Linked DNA regions of Cricetulus griseus. The protein of the gene in region 1 interacts with the protein of each later gene in a pairwise test. Links are inferred from orthologs where the notes say so. Each region holds a gene or a part of one and is shown on either strand. Other genes may lie near its edges.

Region 1 (8,035 bases):
ACAGCCAGCCACTCCTTATGGGGCTGTGCAGCCCCACACGATGGATGGACTCAGACTCTTTCTCCAGCATCCTTAGGATGCAGTCACCACCCTCTCCAGCATCCTTAGGATGCAGCCGCCACTCACTCTCTCCAGCATCCTTAGGATGCATCCACCACTCACTCTCTCCAGCATCCTTAGGATGCAGTCACCACTCTCTCCAGCATCCTTAGGATGCGGCGCCACTCACTCTCTCCAGCCTTAGGATGCGGCCGCCACTCACTCTCTCCAGCATCCTTAGGATCTCGGCGGCGCCACTCACTCTCCAGCATCCTTAGGATGCAGCCGCCACTCGCTCACTCTCTCCAGCATCCTTAGGATGCAGCCGCCACTCACTCTCTCCAGCATCCTTAGGATGCAGCCGCCACTCACTCTCTCCAGCATCCTTAGGATGCATCCACCACTCACTCTCTCCAGCATCCTTAAGATGCAGCTGCCACTCTGTCCAACATTCTTAGGATTCAGCCGCCAGGTATTTTGCCACAGTGACATGAAAGAAAAAAGAAAAGCAAAACAAGCATAAATTCTTTTACAAGGTGAAAATTTTGCTTTTCATGTCTGGTTTATGCATTTTTTATTAAACAGGGGGATCCTACTTTTCTTTCATCCTCCTGACAAAACAGAACAGGTTCTATAGTTAGGAACACAGTGATCAATGCAAATGTCCCACTGACCTCCTTCTCCAATTGGGGTATTTTTAGAAAAAACTCTGTGAGTCCACAAAAGACGCCTCAGATTTCAAACACAGTCCTAAAATCAAAGGATACGTTTAAACAAATTCCTCCTGCCATAACCCCCTCCTGCTTTGCCCTGCCCCATTTTCCCTAGGTTCATTTTCCATGAACTTTCTCTGGGGAGACATAAAATTAAAATCTGCACTCAAACTGGCACAGCATCAAGAGCTCCCAAAATGATTCCTGCAAGGGGCTGGAGAGATGGTTTAGTGGTTGAGAGCACTGGCTGCTCATCCAAAGGACCTGGGTTGGGTTCCCAGCACCTACATGGCAGCTCATGACTGTTTGTAACTCCAGTTCCAGGAGATATGATGCCCTCTTCTGGCCGCCACGGGTACAACATGCACATTGTGCCCAGACCCACACACAGGCAAAACACTTGCACACATAAAAATAATGTAAATGGCTCCTTAAAGCTCATCTTGCTTGATGAGTTAAATGACTTTATTAGGTGTCACCCACGGAGGAGTAGACAACTATGGACAGCTATATTTTCCTCTTGTCACTAATGCTCCATTTACAAGATCACATACTATAGGGCTTATGTCAGAAGCTCTGATGCAAACCTGAATTCAGGGTGCTAGCTAGTGTTTAAGGAGCACATCTGACCCTAAAGCCATTTAGGGTGCCCATCCCTGCCTTCATCAAGGACCTTTGACAAACACTGCTAAGCTGTGGGGACGACACCTTGATTTGCAGCAGGCTGGCATGAAGAATAACTAAAGGACAGCCTGCTAAATGTGGTGCCAGTTCGATTCTCTGGTGCTTTTGATAAAATGACCAAAACCAACTTGAAGAGTAAAGGATTTATTCACCTTATATTTCAAGGTCGCAGTCCATTATGCAGGGAAGTCAGGCCAGGAACCTGGGAAGCAGGAACTGACCCTGAAGGGATGCTGCTCACTGGCTTTCTCATGGTTTGCTCATCTTGCTTTCTTACACACCCAGGACAACCAGCCCAGGTAGGGCACAGTGCACAGCAAACATACAACAAAATGGGAACCACCACTGCGGTCCTTACTACAAAGAGCCTAGCATAGTCTTTCATGTCATTATTTTTGCATATATTTAAGTAAGATTTTCTATTGTACCTTCTGACACAGGGTTACACTCAGATGCCCAGGCTGGCCTGGGACTCAGTTCTCCTTTTTTGGCTCCACAAATGCTAGGCTTGCAGGTGCACTACCGTGCAAAGCTCATCACAAGGTTTTCTCCAAAGAGAAACACTCCCCGCCAAAGGATTAGTCTGCTCAATCTGAATACTCTATTTACCTTAGCTTCTCCCTTGCTTTGGCCTCATAGACCGCTACTTGTGTATTTACACATGGAAGCTACCTTAGGTATTGGGTCCGTCTCAACCTGGCTATCACACTGTTCTAGACAGTCACTTCCAGGCACAAGTATCTTTGTAGAGATCTGTTCATGCACATGCGTAGTTCACTTACAGTGAGACACTTTTTTTTTCAAATTCCACTGGGGGAAAAAACAGACTTAAAAACACAAATGTATAGCTCATTTTACAGTGCCACCCTCTTACCTCCTGCAGAAACTTCTCACTCATCTGACTGAAATGATGCCCTGGGGGCTTGATCCCAGACACCATCAGTCCAGAGGGGAAGACCCTCGGCTTCTGCAAGTCAGGCTTGAATTTCTCATACATGTTGGCAGATGGCTGAAGGTCACGGTTCGCTGTCTTCTCCTCTTGTGGAAGAGGCATGCCACATGAAGGAGGGGCATATGGAAGCCCCACGGGGACCAGTGAGGCATCCCCCTGACCCAGTGCCTGAGGGTTCCTACGGATGTAAGTGATGATCTTGGGCCTCACATGTTTGGGCTTCGGCATAAGGACCGGCTTTGTCTCTGTCCTTTCTTCCACTTTCTCCATCTCGAGTTTCTCGGTTGCTTCCTGGGAGGAAGGTGCGTCCTTGGGATGTGAAAGAGGCTTGGGGATCCCACTGGGGCAGGTGCTCTTATCGGGCACTTTCAGGGATGTGTTCAACACCTGCCCACCATCAGTGGGTGGCAAGGCCACCAGGGTTGAGCCCGTGTCCACGCTGAACTGAGAACTGCTACCTTGAGGAGTGGGGTGGTGAGTCAAGTTCACAGTTGTCTCTGGGTGGAGGGGAGCTGAGGTGCTGAAAACTGAATCTCCTCCAGCTGGAGCGACTTCGGTTTGGGCTGCGTTTTCTAGACGGTTCCTATCTTCAGCTACAGGTGTCGCTGTCTCTCTGCCTTTTCTGGCTTCTGAGTTGCCGCTGTGCGGGCCCAAGAGCTCAGGGGCCTCAGCTCTGTTCCCTCCCACAGAGGGACCTGCGGCCAATGCCTTGGCACTGCCTCCATTCTGGCTACCCTGACTCCTCTCCTCCCTACTGACCTCAGAGGAGATGCTCTCAGTATCACGGAGAACACAAGCTATGTGGCCATCGCTGGGTGCAAAGTCGCTGGATGCTGTTTCCCTCATGGTCCTACCTAAGGCGCCTGGTGACGTTTTACCAGTGAGTCTAGTACCTCCCTCTCCAGGAGCAGTGCTCTGCGCTGGGGTGGCTTGCTGAAACCCCTCCACACCAGCACTGACTCCCATCATTTCTTCCAGGCCGCTGCCTTCTCCCACTTTAAGCTGGTGGTGGCTGCTGTTCAATTGACTGGTGGCTTCTTGATGTGTCTTCTCATGTAGCTCCTTCCTCTCCACAGGTGACATACTTTTCTCCTCGTGACATCCCAGACCCTGTGCCTGGGATGACTTTAGCCCCTGCTCATTCCTGGGTTGAAGGTATTTGCGCTCCACTTTGAGCTCCCCTGTTCCTTGGCCTACGAACACTTCCGGGTGACTGGGGCTGGGAATTTCCATCAATGCTGAAGCTGAATTGGGAGTCGATTCTGGGTGAGGGATGCACTCGCTGTAAAGGTCCAGGCCATGTGTCCCCTCCATCTTGGTGACTGATGGGATGGACCCCCTGGCTTCTGAGGTAGATGGTTTAGGAGGACATACACACCTCCCCGCTGAGGTACCCTCACCTACAGATAAGACTGTCCCTGGAGTGTGACCAGCCAATGTCCCCTGTGGCCCCTCCCCACGCCCAGGCACAAGGCCCTGTGGCTCTGAGGTGTCCAGCCGCATGGGCTGCAAATTCTCCCAAATGAGACTGCCAGCTGAAGCTGCTGAGCTGCTGGCTCTTTTCAGCTCTTCATTGTCAAGGGTCTTTGCCAACTTGTCCTTGGGAATGTGTCGGGGAACTTCAGCATCCCTTTTAGCTGAACCCTCTAGACTGGCCTGACCCACTGCATTCCTCCAACTGGCTAGACCTGGTCCCTGGACACTCTGGGGGGTCTGCAGGATAGCTCTTTTCACTGTGTGTTCTTCACTCGGTTGTCTATGAACAACCAGAGAAGGATGAAAATCCCTCTGGCTGGTGGAGGCAGCCTGAGCCCCTTTCCCAAAGCCCTGAGGTTGAGGGGGCTGCTTCTGGGAGTGGCTGTGGTACTGTGGCCTGCTCACATTTGCATTTCCAATTTCATCATCCAGATCACGTGTCCTGGGCTCATCATTCGGGGAGCTGACCTCCAACATGATTTGATTGGCATTTGTATCTCCCATGCTTAGAATGCTCTCGTTATTGTTTTTTGCCCGATCTTGGTGCTCTCGCAACTGACTGAAACAGTGTTTCTTTGGAGCCAGTGGGATACTCATGGTCACCTCTTCAGTGAGGGCTGCTGGCCATGCAGTCCCCCTTCAAACTGCAGGGCAACAGGCAGCTGTCTTGTTGCCTGTCCTCCTGTGACAATGGCACATCTAGACACTACTTTGAACCTCTTCAGACAAGTTTCAGAACCAACCATTGTCTTGACACGCAGCGAAACAACTCACGATGCTCCATTGCTGCTCAGTGAAAACCAGTTAGTCGATGAGACCTGTGAAGAAATGAAAACACCGTCATTTTAGAATGAAGACAACAATAACCATGAGTAAGAGACACATGCGAGAGCTAGCAGTGGTGGCGCTCGCCTTTAATCCCGACACTTGGGAAGCAGAGACAGGTGGGTCTCTGTGAGTTCTGAGACCAGCCTGGTCTACAGAGTGAGTTCCAGGACAGCCAGGGCTGTTATAACAGAGAAACCCTGTCTCAAACAATAACAAAAGACAAACAAACAAACAACATCATCACCAGAAGGGTGAGCATAACACAAGTCATTTGGGGAAGAAAAGAAAAATCCTATGCAGATGATTTTCATCACAGTGCATTGTTATGACTGCTCTGTTTTATTGCAAATTATTTGCTAACCTCTTGCTGGGCCAAATGTATAAGGCACACTTTATCATAGGTCTGTCTGTGTAGGGGAAAGGTACCACCTGTAAATCCAAGCATCCCAGGGATCTTGAACTGCATCCTCACCAATGAAGGTAGATCACAATACACACAGCTGAGAACCGTGAGCCCAGCATGCTTTCCCTTACTGTAGTGTCTCTCTCCATCTCACCCCTAACTTCCTAACATCTAACCCTAGCATCCTTGCAAATTCTGAGATACATCTCTCCTTCCTGTTCATTTCTTTTCCACCTGTACATACATGTTTTTCCACCTAAATGGAGTCCTTTTGTATAATCTGACCCTTAGTCAGTTTTGTTTTCTTATGTGTGCCTTCCCATCTTCACCCTAGGACATACTATCACAACTGTGTCTGCTCTGCATGTCCTGGGAATGTAGACTCTTGTGAACATAGCCTCCATCACTTGCTGCCATGCTGATCTTGTACTCCTCCCACACCTCCCTCATGGTCCCTGTTTCTCCCCCCCCACCCCCCCCCCGCATGCCAGTAGCATCCTGAGGTACAGCCTGGCCTCAATACAATCCCTAACTGAGGGACTGAGCCTAACACAGGAAAGTTGTGCCAAAATTGCCATTTCGTTCTTGTTTCCATTTTGAGAATACATTTGTCTTCCAGGCAAAAAACTAACAACATCTAAGCAGATTCATGGGACAGCCATTTAAAAAGAAGCTAAACTCTCCAGGCTGGGATGTGAGTATCCCAACGAGCCAAGAAATTCACAAGCATGGCCATCCACAGAAGGGCACCATCTCTGACTCCCTAGAGATGCAAGCAAGTACAGACACAAAGCCAAGAGCTCTCTTGGTCTGAATCTCATGAAGAAACAAAACCAGAACATCAGAAACCATGAGGAACAATGGGATTTCTAGAAAGTGACAAACGCCCATAAAACAGTGTCTTGCTAGAGAAAGCTGTGTTGTTTGTTTGGTTGGTTTTGTTTTTGTCTTTTTTTAAAACATATTTCTTTTACTTGATATGTATGGGTGTTTTACCTGTATGTACGCCTGTGCACCATGTGCATGTAGTACCCTCAGAGGCCAGAGGGGGCATCAGATCCCTTAGAACTGGAGTTATAGATGGTTTTGAGCAGCCATGTCAATGCTGGGAATTAAACCTGAGTCCTCTGCAAGAGCAGCCAGGGCTCTCAACAGCTGAGTCATCTACCTCTCCAGTCCAACACTGAAGATTTTTTAACAACATCATTAGCATTTAATAAGACCACTGTAACATAGGCTTCCATTCTTGGCCAAAATGTCCCTACAGAGGACACAGGTGTAATGGGTCCATGAGGTTCTTCTATCTGTGCCCATCTCTCATCACTGGGCAGGCTCAGCTGTCTCAAGTTCACCAGCTCTGTAAATAGTTGGGCACCTTATCTAGAAGCTTCTTTGGTTAATGGCATATCTACTTTTGAATCATGAAATGTATTGATGTCATCTGGACACTTACACACAATCTCTTTATCCATCTTAGAGTCCAGGTTCCCGTGAGCTATGTTTGTTCCAACAATGTATCATTAAAGTCACTCTCACACAATGAGAAACTCAACAGATCCAACCCTGTGTCATCCTCGTCACCCTGAGTCACCTGACTGAAAGACAGGCTAGAGTCAGAGGTTCTCAGCTTGACACCTGGGCTCCGATGATCCTTCTGTGGTTAAAGACTCAAATATTTGTACAATTCTACTTCAAACACGACTGTCCTGCTAAATTACACTTCCTACCAACATCATCAAAATCCAGCCCAAGCCCACTTCTCCCACAAAACTTCCCTAAACTCTTTCCTCCTCAAAAAGCTGCTACATGAGAGTTTACGTGTTGTTTCTTAAGTCCTGAGTCTGCACATCTCTCCTGTGGGCCAGCCCAACCACACTTTTATCACAGCCATGGTTTTCTTTTCTTTCCTTTTCTTTTCTTTTTCTTTTTTTTTCTTTTTTTTTTTTTTTTGCTTCCAACCAAAGTCTTCCCTCCCTCCACTCCTCCCCCACCTGTCCTCTATCTCCCCCATCCACTCCTCCTCCACTGTTTCTCTTCAGATACAGGTGGCCCTCCTATGGATATCAGCCATTCAAGGTATAGCAAGCTTCAGGTAGACTAGGCTCCTCCTCTTCTTTTAAGGCTGGATGAGGTCTAGGAGAAAGGGTCCCAAACACAGGTATTGGAGTCAGAGACAGCCCCTGCTCTCACTATTAGGAGTCTCACAAGACCACCACATTCCACAGCTGTCACCTATATCAAGAGCACCTAGGTCAGTCCCATGCAGGCTCCCTGGTTGTCAGTTCAGTCTCTGTGAGCTCCTATGAGCCTAGGTTAGCTGACTCTGTGGGTTTTCTTGGGGTGTCTTTGACCCTTTTCACAACCATGTTCTTGAATTTACTATCTACCAACTTTCGTACATACTCAAATCTGAGAATGTGTAGTGCTGGCATAGAATGTACGCACACCTTCCTTTATACATTCAAATGCCTCTAGGTCACTTACAATCACTAATATAAAGCAAATACTTGGCATTTTATAATGTTTGGGAACAGTGATGAGAAAAGTTGATGTGTTTCCAGCAGAGGTGTGATTTTTAAATATTTTCTGTGGTTGTTTGAGCCCATAAATGTGGAGCCCCAGAGACTGGGGGGGGGGGGGACTGTTGTACATTTAATTTTATAGCAGTTAAATGTGCTTCGCATTAAGCTGTGTGTCTTACTCATTTTAGGAGACCACAAGCTTACTACATTAATGGTTCAGGAGTCTCTGTCCCCCTGTGGCTTTTGGAACAGCTTTCTGCAGCATAGATATGCCAGATGAAGTGACCCAACTGGATCCCAACTTGAGCTCAGAATAGTGAACACTCACTACCCTCAGGTTATCAAGGATTCTAATTTTTTCACTTGTGTAATGGTTGGTTGAAATGCTAAAGTAGCTCTTCTAGATGAAGAACTGGCT
Region 2 (8,035 bases), about 120 Mb from region 1:
AATTTAAAGAGGAATGGAAATGGGGTGGAAAAGATATAACGCAGTACTATACGAAATCTCAAAATAATAAAAATAAAGGATCTGAAGTGGGTATAGAGAGGTGGGAGTGGATGGAAGAGAAGAAAGTGGGAGAGGTGGGTATCACAAAGTACATTTATTAAATTAGCAAACAATTGGCAAAGATATTTAAAAAGAATGTTAGCTATTACTGTTCAGTGCCTGAGGAATTAATTAGTAAATCTATACAAGACTGAAAAGAGCTTAGTAATTAATAAGAAATTACTTTAAAATCTCTCTGGAAAGCATTCAAACTCAATCACAACTCAGGAAATAAATTACCATTAGTTTCATTACATATTTATTTATAGGTCGAAGAAACCTAAGGGCACAAGAAAATACTCAACTTTTTTTTTTTTTAAGTTCTGTTCAAGATCTCCTGAGCAAATCTGGAGCATGGGGGCAGGGAAGAGGAAATTAGGAGAATGAGAAGGGGAGAAGAGGAGGGGTGAGGAAGACATGATGGGGCAGGGAGGTTGACTTGGGGGAAGAACAGAAGAGAGCAAGATGAGCGATAATATAATAGAAGACATTATAGGTTTAAAGAGAAATCAGGCACTAGGGAAATGTCTGGAGAGCTACAAAGATGACACCAACTAACAATCTAAGCAACAGAGTAGAGGCTACCTTAAATGCCCTCTCCTGATAATGAGATTGATGACTAATTCATATGCCATTGTATAGCCTTCACCCAGCAGCTGGTGGAAGTAGAAGCAGACACCCACAGCTAAACACTGAACTAAACTGAAATCCAGTTGCAGAGAAGGAGGACTGTTGAGCAAAGGGGTCCATACCAGGCTGGTGAAACCCACAGAAACAGCTGACCTGACAAGGGAGAGCCCTTGGTCCCCAGACTGATAGCTGGGAAACCAGCACGGGACTAATCCAGACCCCCTGAATGTAGGTGTCAGTGAGGAGATCTTGGAAATCTATGGGACCTCTTGTAGTGGATCAATACTTATCCCTAGCATAGGAATGAACTTTGGGAGCCCATCCCACATGGAGGGATACTCCCTGAGCCTAGACACAAGGCGGTTTACCTAGGCCCTATCCCAAAGAATAAGACAGATTTTGAAGACCCCCATGGAAGGCCTTACCTTCGCTGGGGAGCAGAAAGGGTATGGGATAGATAGGGTGTTAGTTGGGGGGGGGCAGGGGAGAAGGGGAGGGAGAAGGACCTGGGGTTGACATGTAAAATTTTTTTTTCTAATTAAAATAAAAAAGAATAAAATGAAAAAAGTTTTGTTTATCTTTTTAGTTAAGGTGGTTAATTTCATACAATAAATTCCATTATGAGATACAGGAATTGCACAAATTACATTACATTAAAATATGACACCTTATTATATTAAGGAATTTTCAGTTAGAGATATATTAGTATCACAAACACTAAAATATGCAACAGAAATGTAAAGTACCTGACCTGCACTATCAATGTAAGGCCAGGGTGGGTAAAATGACAAGTTCATACACAAGCTCTCTTAATCTGGTTTATATGCAATATATAAGTAAGTACTACAGAAAGCAGGTGTGTCTAGTTACTATTTGAGTTGCATTTTAAAATATAAGGTATTTATTATTTTAGAAAACAGTTCATATATCTTAATTTTTTATAAAAATGAACAATGGCAAGTAAAGAATTTTTACAAATAATGTAGTAAAACAATCTTTATCATAAAAAGGTTAGTATAAGTAAAAGTGAAGCACCTGTCATTTATTTCAAAAAGAGCTATCAGCTAAGACTCTTCTCTCAGGATAACCCAACCTAAGAACATTTAATCTTCATTAAATAAGCTCTAAAAGAATACATCCATGAAAGAACACAGTCCACGTGCCAAGATGAGAGACTCACTAATTATTATATTCACACATACACCATCCTTGGTACATACAAGTGCTCAGCTGATCCTCCATAGTGTTCGTTGACAATCTGGGGAGAATTTGAAGGCAACATATTTACTGTGTTTTCCTATTGTTTGTTTGTAAAGAGTTGTTTGACATGGAATGCAGTAAAGCAATGGTAAACAATGATAAGATTTATACATTCAGTTTTTATAAACTGTTTGTCATTATAAACATCCTGGTCATTAGACTGGTTTTGAAAAAGTGTCATGTGAGATACAAAGATACAATACATAATCCTAGACTTCTGGATAAAAATTCAGATCGAAAGTGTCTGTGATGCTAAATGTGCCAAGTAAGTAAATGTCCAAAGTTAGTACTCAAGCACCAAAGCCCTAAGATGTGAAGATCTTATTTGGTTGTGGCTCTGGCCAACTTTCCCTAGTAGCCTCATCCTGCCTTCATGAATAGTTAGCTTCAAATTATGCAGCTGAAGAGATGAAGACATACTTGTGGCAAGTAAAAACTGAAGCATAAAACACACTTTCTTTTGTAATAAAGTCAAATTCCCCACAGAGAACTTCATGAACTTTTATGAATGTTGCAGAACACACTTCTGATACATGCCCACAAGAAGTATTTTCTTTGCTTGTTAAAGCACGTTATTTCTGTGTGCCTTTTGAGTCCTAAAGACGACGATTAATTGTGAAAGTCCTGTCACCTGGAATCAAGTTTGCCCTCTTGACAAAGAAGAGAGGGACAGACAGACACAGAAGATGTGTTACTGCCTGTTAAGTTGAGAACTAAGGGCTTCATTTTTCCATAGCTCATGTGCTGTTTGTTTATTGCTTGCACTGTTTATGTTTACTTGGCTAATAGTGTCCCAAGAATCCAAATACTCGACTGGGACATGTGTCCTGACTGCATCTTTGAACTTATACCAGTGAAAGCAATGTTCAAGCCAGATAAAGATACTTGCAAATAACTGAAGGCTGGCTGTGAGCCCAACGCACATTTCTCTAATTTTGTTTTCAACTGGTTCTTTGCTTGATCCCTCTATCTTGATGAACGCCGTGTAGGAGTCCTTTCAAAGTACATGAAGTCCTGAAATTGGAAAGGGTATTATATTTAGATTGAGAAATGAATGACAGATAGAAATAATTATATTAATGCATATAATATATTTCCTTTGTAATTTATCATGAGAGCATCGTATTCCAGTAAAAAAAAATAAATCTAAAACATTCATGAGCACGACTAATGTATGAGAATGCAAGTGGATCATATGCTTTTCATAGTGAGCATTTTTATCATTAACTGAAGGAGAACCTTAGTAAAACTTAGGATGATGTAACACTAATGAGCATGATTGCAGTTGACTGGAAAGAGGAAAGGGGCAGCTGCTCTGTAGTTATTTTATTACATTAATTATCATGGGACAGCTGTTTTGAAGTAGTGAGAAAATAACTAATAGGAAATGATGATTACTGCGTCCACTGTCTGTATGACACCTTCCAGGTGTGTCCAGCAGCCTTTACCCAGTTAAGATTCGTCACTCTGCAATGCCATTATTTTTCTCCCTGCTACAAATGAGTAAATCTAGGTACCAAGTGCCAACCTGTGCCTAGAGGTGGCACAGACAGAAGCTAGCTAAGTTTCAAAATGAATTTTCTTCTAAAAAATACTGCTCATCAGAAGAAATGGGCCCACAGTGTAAGGCTTACAATGAGGAAGCAAGTGCCGAAAATCATCGCTTTCATCGTCACATCCAGGTCCAAAGGGAAGCGAATCTCAAAGTGGTCAGCATCTCCCATTGTTGATAGAAAGCCATTCCACTTTCTGATAATACTGCCGATGTTAGATGCTCCATCTAGAGAGTTGACCTGCAATGCCAAGAGTGGGACTTTAGGATGGCTGAAAAGCATAAAGGGACATGTGTATGTCTTCTTAGAAGCAGTTTGTGATATGATAATATAGAATACCGGAAAAAACACTAATGACATAATTTCAAATGAGGACCCCTAAGATTAAGTGTCCTGAAACTTTGTGTAACTGAGCTGGGATGTATCTTAAAACCCTCAGTCTTGTGACTTTTCCTCACTCTTAAATACATCTTCTGGGGACTTTGTCAGAAGGTATGGTTTGTATTGATGATTAAATTCATTTACGTAGCAGAGGGTGATAATTTGGGGATGGGAAACCATTTCCAACCAAGGAAACCTCCAAACAAAACTAAGGGGTAATACTATACAGTGAACACCACTCAAGCCCCTGTGGGCCAAATCTACCCTTCTGAGTGTATCTATGTATAAGAATGGGTTCCAACTTCTAAAAGAGGGGCCCTGACATTTGACAGTAGAAATACCTCATACATAGCTTCTAAAGTCCCTCTGTAATGAAATGATCACACACAATCTGCACTGGAAATCTGGTTTGCTGACATTTTCTATACAACTTTTTTTTTTCCAAAGAATTTTTTTTTTAGTTCAAATTAGAAACAAGCCTGTTTCACATGTTAATCCCTTCTCCCTCTCCCTCCCCTCTTCCCCCACCAGCTCCCTACACCATCCCCCCTCTGCTCCCCAGGGGGGTAAGGCCCTCCATGGGGATCCCCAAAGTCTGTCATACCATCTTGGGAGGGCCTAGGCCCTCCCCAATGTGTCCAGGCTGAGAAAGCATCCCTCCACATGGAATGGGCTCCCAAAGTCCTTTCTTCGGCCAGGGATAAATACTGATCTACTACCAGGGGCCCCATAGAGTGCTGAGGCCTCCTCATTGACATCAATGTTCAGGGGTCTGGATCAGTTCTGTGCTAGCCACCCAGACAGCAGTCTGGGGTCCATGGGCTCCCCCTTGTTCAGGTCAGCTGTTTCTGTGGGTTTCACCTGTCCAGTCTTGACTCTTAATAAGTGAGGCATGTTTCATTACATGATGACATAAAATAAAAGCTAGAAAGCTTTTTGTGTCATAGGAAGCAGGAGAGGGAATAAGTTTAGTGTATGTCAAGCCTCATCCTGTTAAAAGGCTTTGAGAAACCCTCCCAAACCTCAAGACTTTTATTTTAACAATTTCTTTGGCAGTCCCTGGGAAAAATGCAAAAGGCAAGAACAAACAAACAAACAAACAAACAAACAAACACAAAACCACTCTTTTTAATTTTTTCACATATTTTTCCTTTTATGAAAAAAATTTTAAATTGAGCTATGCATTTTCTCCATTCCCCTACCCTCCTCCTCTCTGCCCTTCCACCCTATTCCCTGCTCCCCCACATTCCCAGTTTACTCAGGAGATCTGTATTCCCCCCTTCCTAGGCAGATGTCTCTCTCAGGGTCTTCTTTGTTACCTAGGTTCTCTAGGGTTGTATCCTGTAGGCTGGTATCCCTTTTCTTTATTAGACCACTCTGTTTTGAGAAAATATTATAATACAACCCAGTCATTCATTATATCCATGCCCTTATGAATTCCTTAAGTACTGGGGTTTGCTAGATTTTTACATATAAAACCTATATTCCCATTTTAGAAATCATTGGGGAGAAATATATATATATATATATATTCAATTATTGATCCAATCAGGCTGTTTACTCCCAAAAGTTTAATGTTCTAAATTGGAAAAAAAATGTTTTAAAAAGGCAGCGCCACTCACATTGTGGAAAATATCAAGTAACCATGAGAAACCAAGTGAACACTTGCAATTAACTCTTTCTTCATACCATTTGACTCATTCATGTGAAAAACTGGTTAAGACAAGAAGAATGGTTTGAGGTCATAATGGAAAATGTAGAAGCAAAATTTCTATATATATATATATATATATATATATAGAGAGAGAGAGAGAGAGAGAGAGATAGATAGATATCTCTCTCTCTCTCTCTCTCTCTCTATATATATATATATAATATATATATATATATATTATATATATATATATATCTACCTCAAAAACGGAATCTGAACCACAGCCATAGGTTGCACATGGACCACGCACTCTCATCACATTCTCTTTCTTCTGATTTTGGATGCTGTAAGTGGCTCTGCATAAGTTCCAGTGTTCTGCAACAAATCCAATGGTGACACCAGGAGGACACTGCACTTCCAGCTGCATATGAAAAGTAACAGAAGTTATGATGTTGTATTGTACAATGCATAACTATGCCACTCATGTGCACACACCTGAACATGCTCTTGGTCATTCTAGGGCAAGGGGGAATTTATGTTAGGGACAGACTCATGTTTCCCTGGGGCCATTTGCAGGGTTGTATTTCCAAGAGGACTCTAAAGAGACGAGGTCATGTTTTACTGTGGGACAAAGAAAAGGCTTAACGAATAACTGCTCAACTGCTTGATGTAAGATTCCACCAGTGTTCCTAACAGGACATACAGCATTGTCACACAGTCAATCCTGAAGGACCTGAGGCAGAGAGGACCTTACATGAATGTACTGGCATTCATGATGCTGTGCTGTAATAAAGGCCTTTGAGCAGGCAGTAGTGGTGCCCGCCTTTAATCCCAGCTCTTAGGAGGCAAAGGCAGGTGGATCTCTGTGAGTTTGAGGTCAGCTTGGTCTACAGAGAGAGTTCCAGGACATCCAGGGCTACACAGAGAAACCCTGTCTTGAAAAAAAAGAAAACAGAAAAAATGTAATAACAGCCTTTGTTTCATTTAGGAGTTTCATGTATAATAGGAGTAGTTAACTTAATAAATCAGACCCAGCAAAACTAAATCTACATGACAACTACAACAAATAAAAAAAACAAAGGAGAAAGAAGCACTGTGAAATTTGTATGAAAGTATTCCCCATTTGATGGGAATGCATTCCAAGACATTGGTTGATGTCTTAAATAGGGATAGTTCTGAACCCAAAATATAGCATACTTTACAATAAACACATGCCTATAGTCATTAAACTCCACCTACAGCAAAGTTATTTATCATTTGGTTGCAGTACAGTACCAACAAGAACCATTAGCTATAGAATAGCTACAATACTCTGTCCTACAATAGAAATTATATGAATGTAGTCTTTCAACTGCCTCTGTGTGTATGCAGTTATACCTTGGATACTCTGCACAAAACAATAAATCAAGATCCAGAATTCACCACATTATTCAGCGTATGAATTGTTTATTTCTGGAACTTGTTATTAATATTTCAGACTATATTTGTCTATAGTAACCAAACCACAAAAAGTAAAACTGCTGATGGAAGTGGGGGAGCTGCTTGCTATAACAGTTAAAAGCTTGCATGTGGAGGTAGACAATAGCACTTTATTAAAGATTTTTAAAACATTGTACACTGTGCTGTTGTACTTAATTACCCATGCATTAAAATTTTATCAAAGCTGTCAGGACTTGCATTGCCAGAGCCATTGTTCATATATACAAATTTGTAACTATACAAAACATTGAATTTGATAGTTCCCTAGAACCAAAACTTTAAAATTGGTGACACTGTAAGACCATAAAGCAAGGCTCAACAATGACAAGAGAATTGAAACAATTCCTTATAAACAGAATTACATCAATTCCTTATATTCTGTCAGGTCACAAAAGAATAAAACTAGAACCAACAATAAGGAAAATTATAGAAATTATACAAATATTTGCACATTTTCAATGAATACTGAATCAGTGAAGAAATCAAGGGAAAAATTGAAACAGTAATAGATTCAAACTAAAACATCAACAAAGCTTCTCAGACCACCAGGACACAGACAGGGAAGTTCTAAGGGAAATATTACAGCTGGGAGAGCTTGCATTAAAAATCAAATGATCCACTCAAAATTCTAAAAAATCAACAGGAAGTCAAATCCAAAGTGAAGCAAATAGCAAGTAATCATACAGATTAATGTAGAGATTGATGAAATAGGGACTAAAAGGAGACACAGAATCAACTAAAATATTTTCTTTTTTGAAAAGAAAAGCAAGTTTGAAAAATCCCTAACTATATGAACCAAAATAAAAAGAGGTCATAAATTAATAAAATTAGAGACAAGAGAGATGTCCAAAACAAAATCCAATGTAATCCAGAAGTACACTTTGGCAATGATAGGAAAACTTTCCAAGCAGCTAAATACATGGCCTGTCAAAATTAAATCCGGAAGATATACATAATTTATGCAGACAAGCAATGAGAT

What was found.
Region 2: the proteins of Mtus2 (region 1) and Plscr4 interact in binary tests that used the Homo sapiens proteins (3 or more experiments, as listed by UniProt). The two-hybrid records come from large-scale screens. The link is inferred for Cricetulus griseus from reciprocal best matches to the Homo sapiens genes MTUS2 and PLSCR4.

The regions. Positions count from the first base shown.
Region 1 is NC_048597.1:83,932,564-83,940,598, reverse strand, and holds part of Mtus2 (microtubule-associated tumor suppressor candidate 2), read right to left. Parts: intron 4,683-8,035; 5' UTR 4,462-4,682; coding exon 2,311-4,461; intron 1-2,310. UniProt on the Homo sapiens protein: Binds microtubules. Together with MAPRE1 may target the microtubule depolymerase KIF2C to the plus-end of microtubules. May regulate the dynamics of microtubules at their growing distal tip.
Region 2 is NC_048597.1:201,469,955-201,477,989, reverse strand, and holds the end of Plscr4 (phospholipid scramblase 4), read right to left. Parts: intron 5,999-8,035; coding exon 5,837-5,998; intron 3,783-5,836; coding exon 3,624-3,782; intron 3,004-3,623; coding exon 2,956-3,003; 3' UTR 2,913-2,955; exon of another isoform or gene 1,988-2,912; 3' UTR 1,284-1,987; downstream 1-1,283. UniProt on the Homo sapiens protein: Catalyzes metal ion-induced ATP-independent rapid bidirectional and non-specific movement of phospholipids (lipid scrambling or lipid flip-flop) between the inner and outer leaflet of the plasma membrane and participates in the redistribution of phospholipids between membrane leaflets.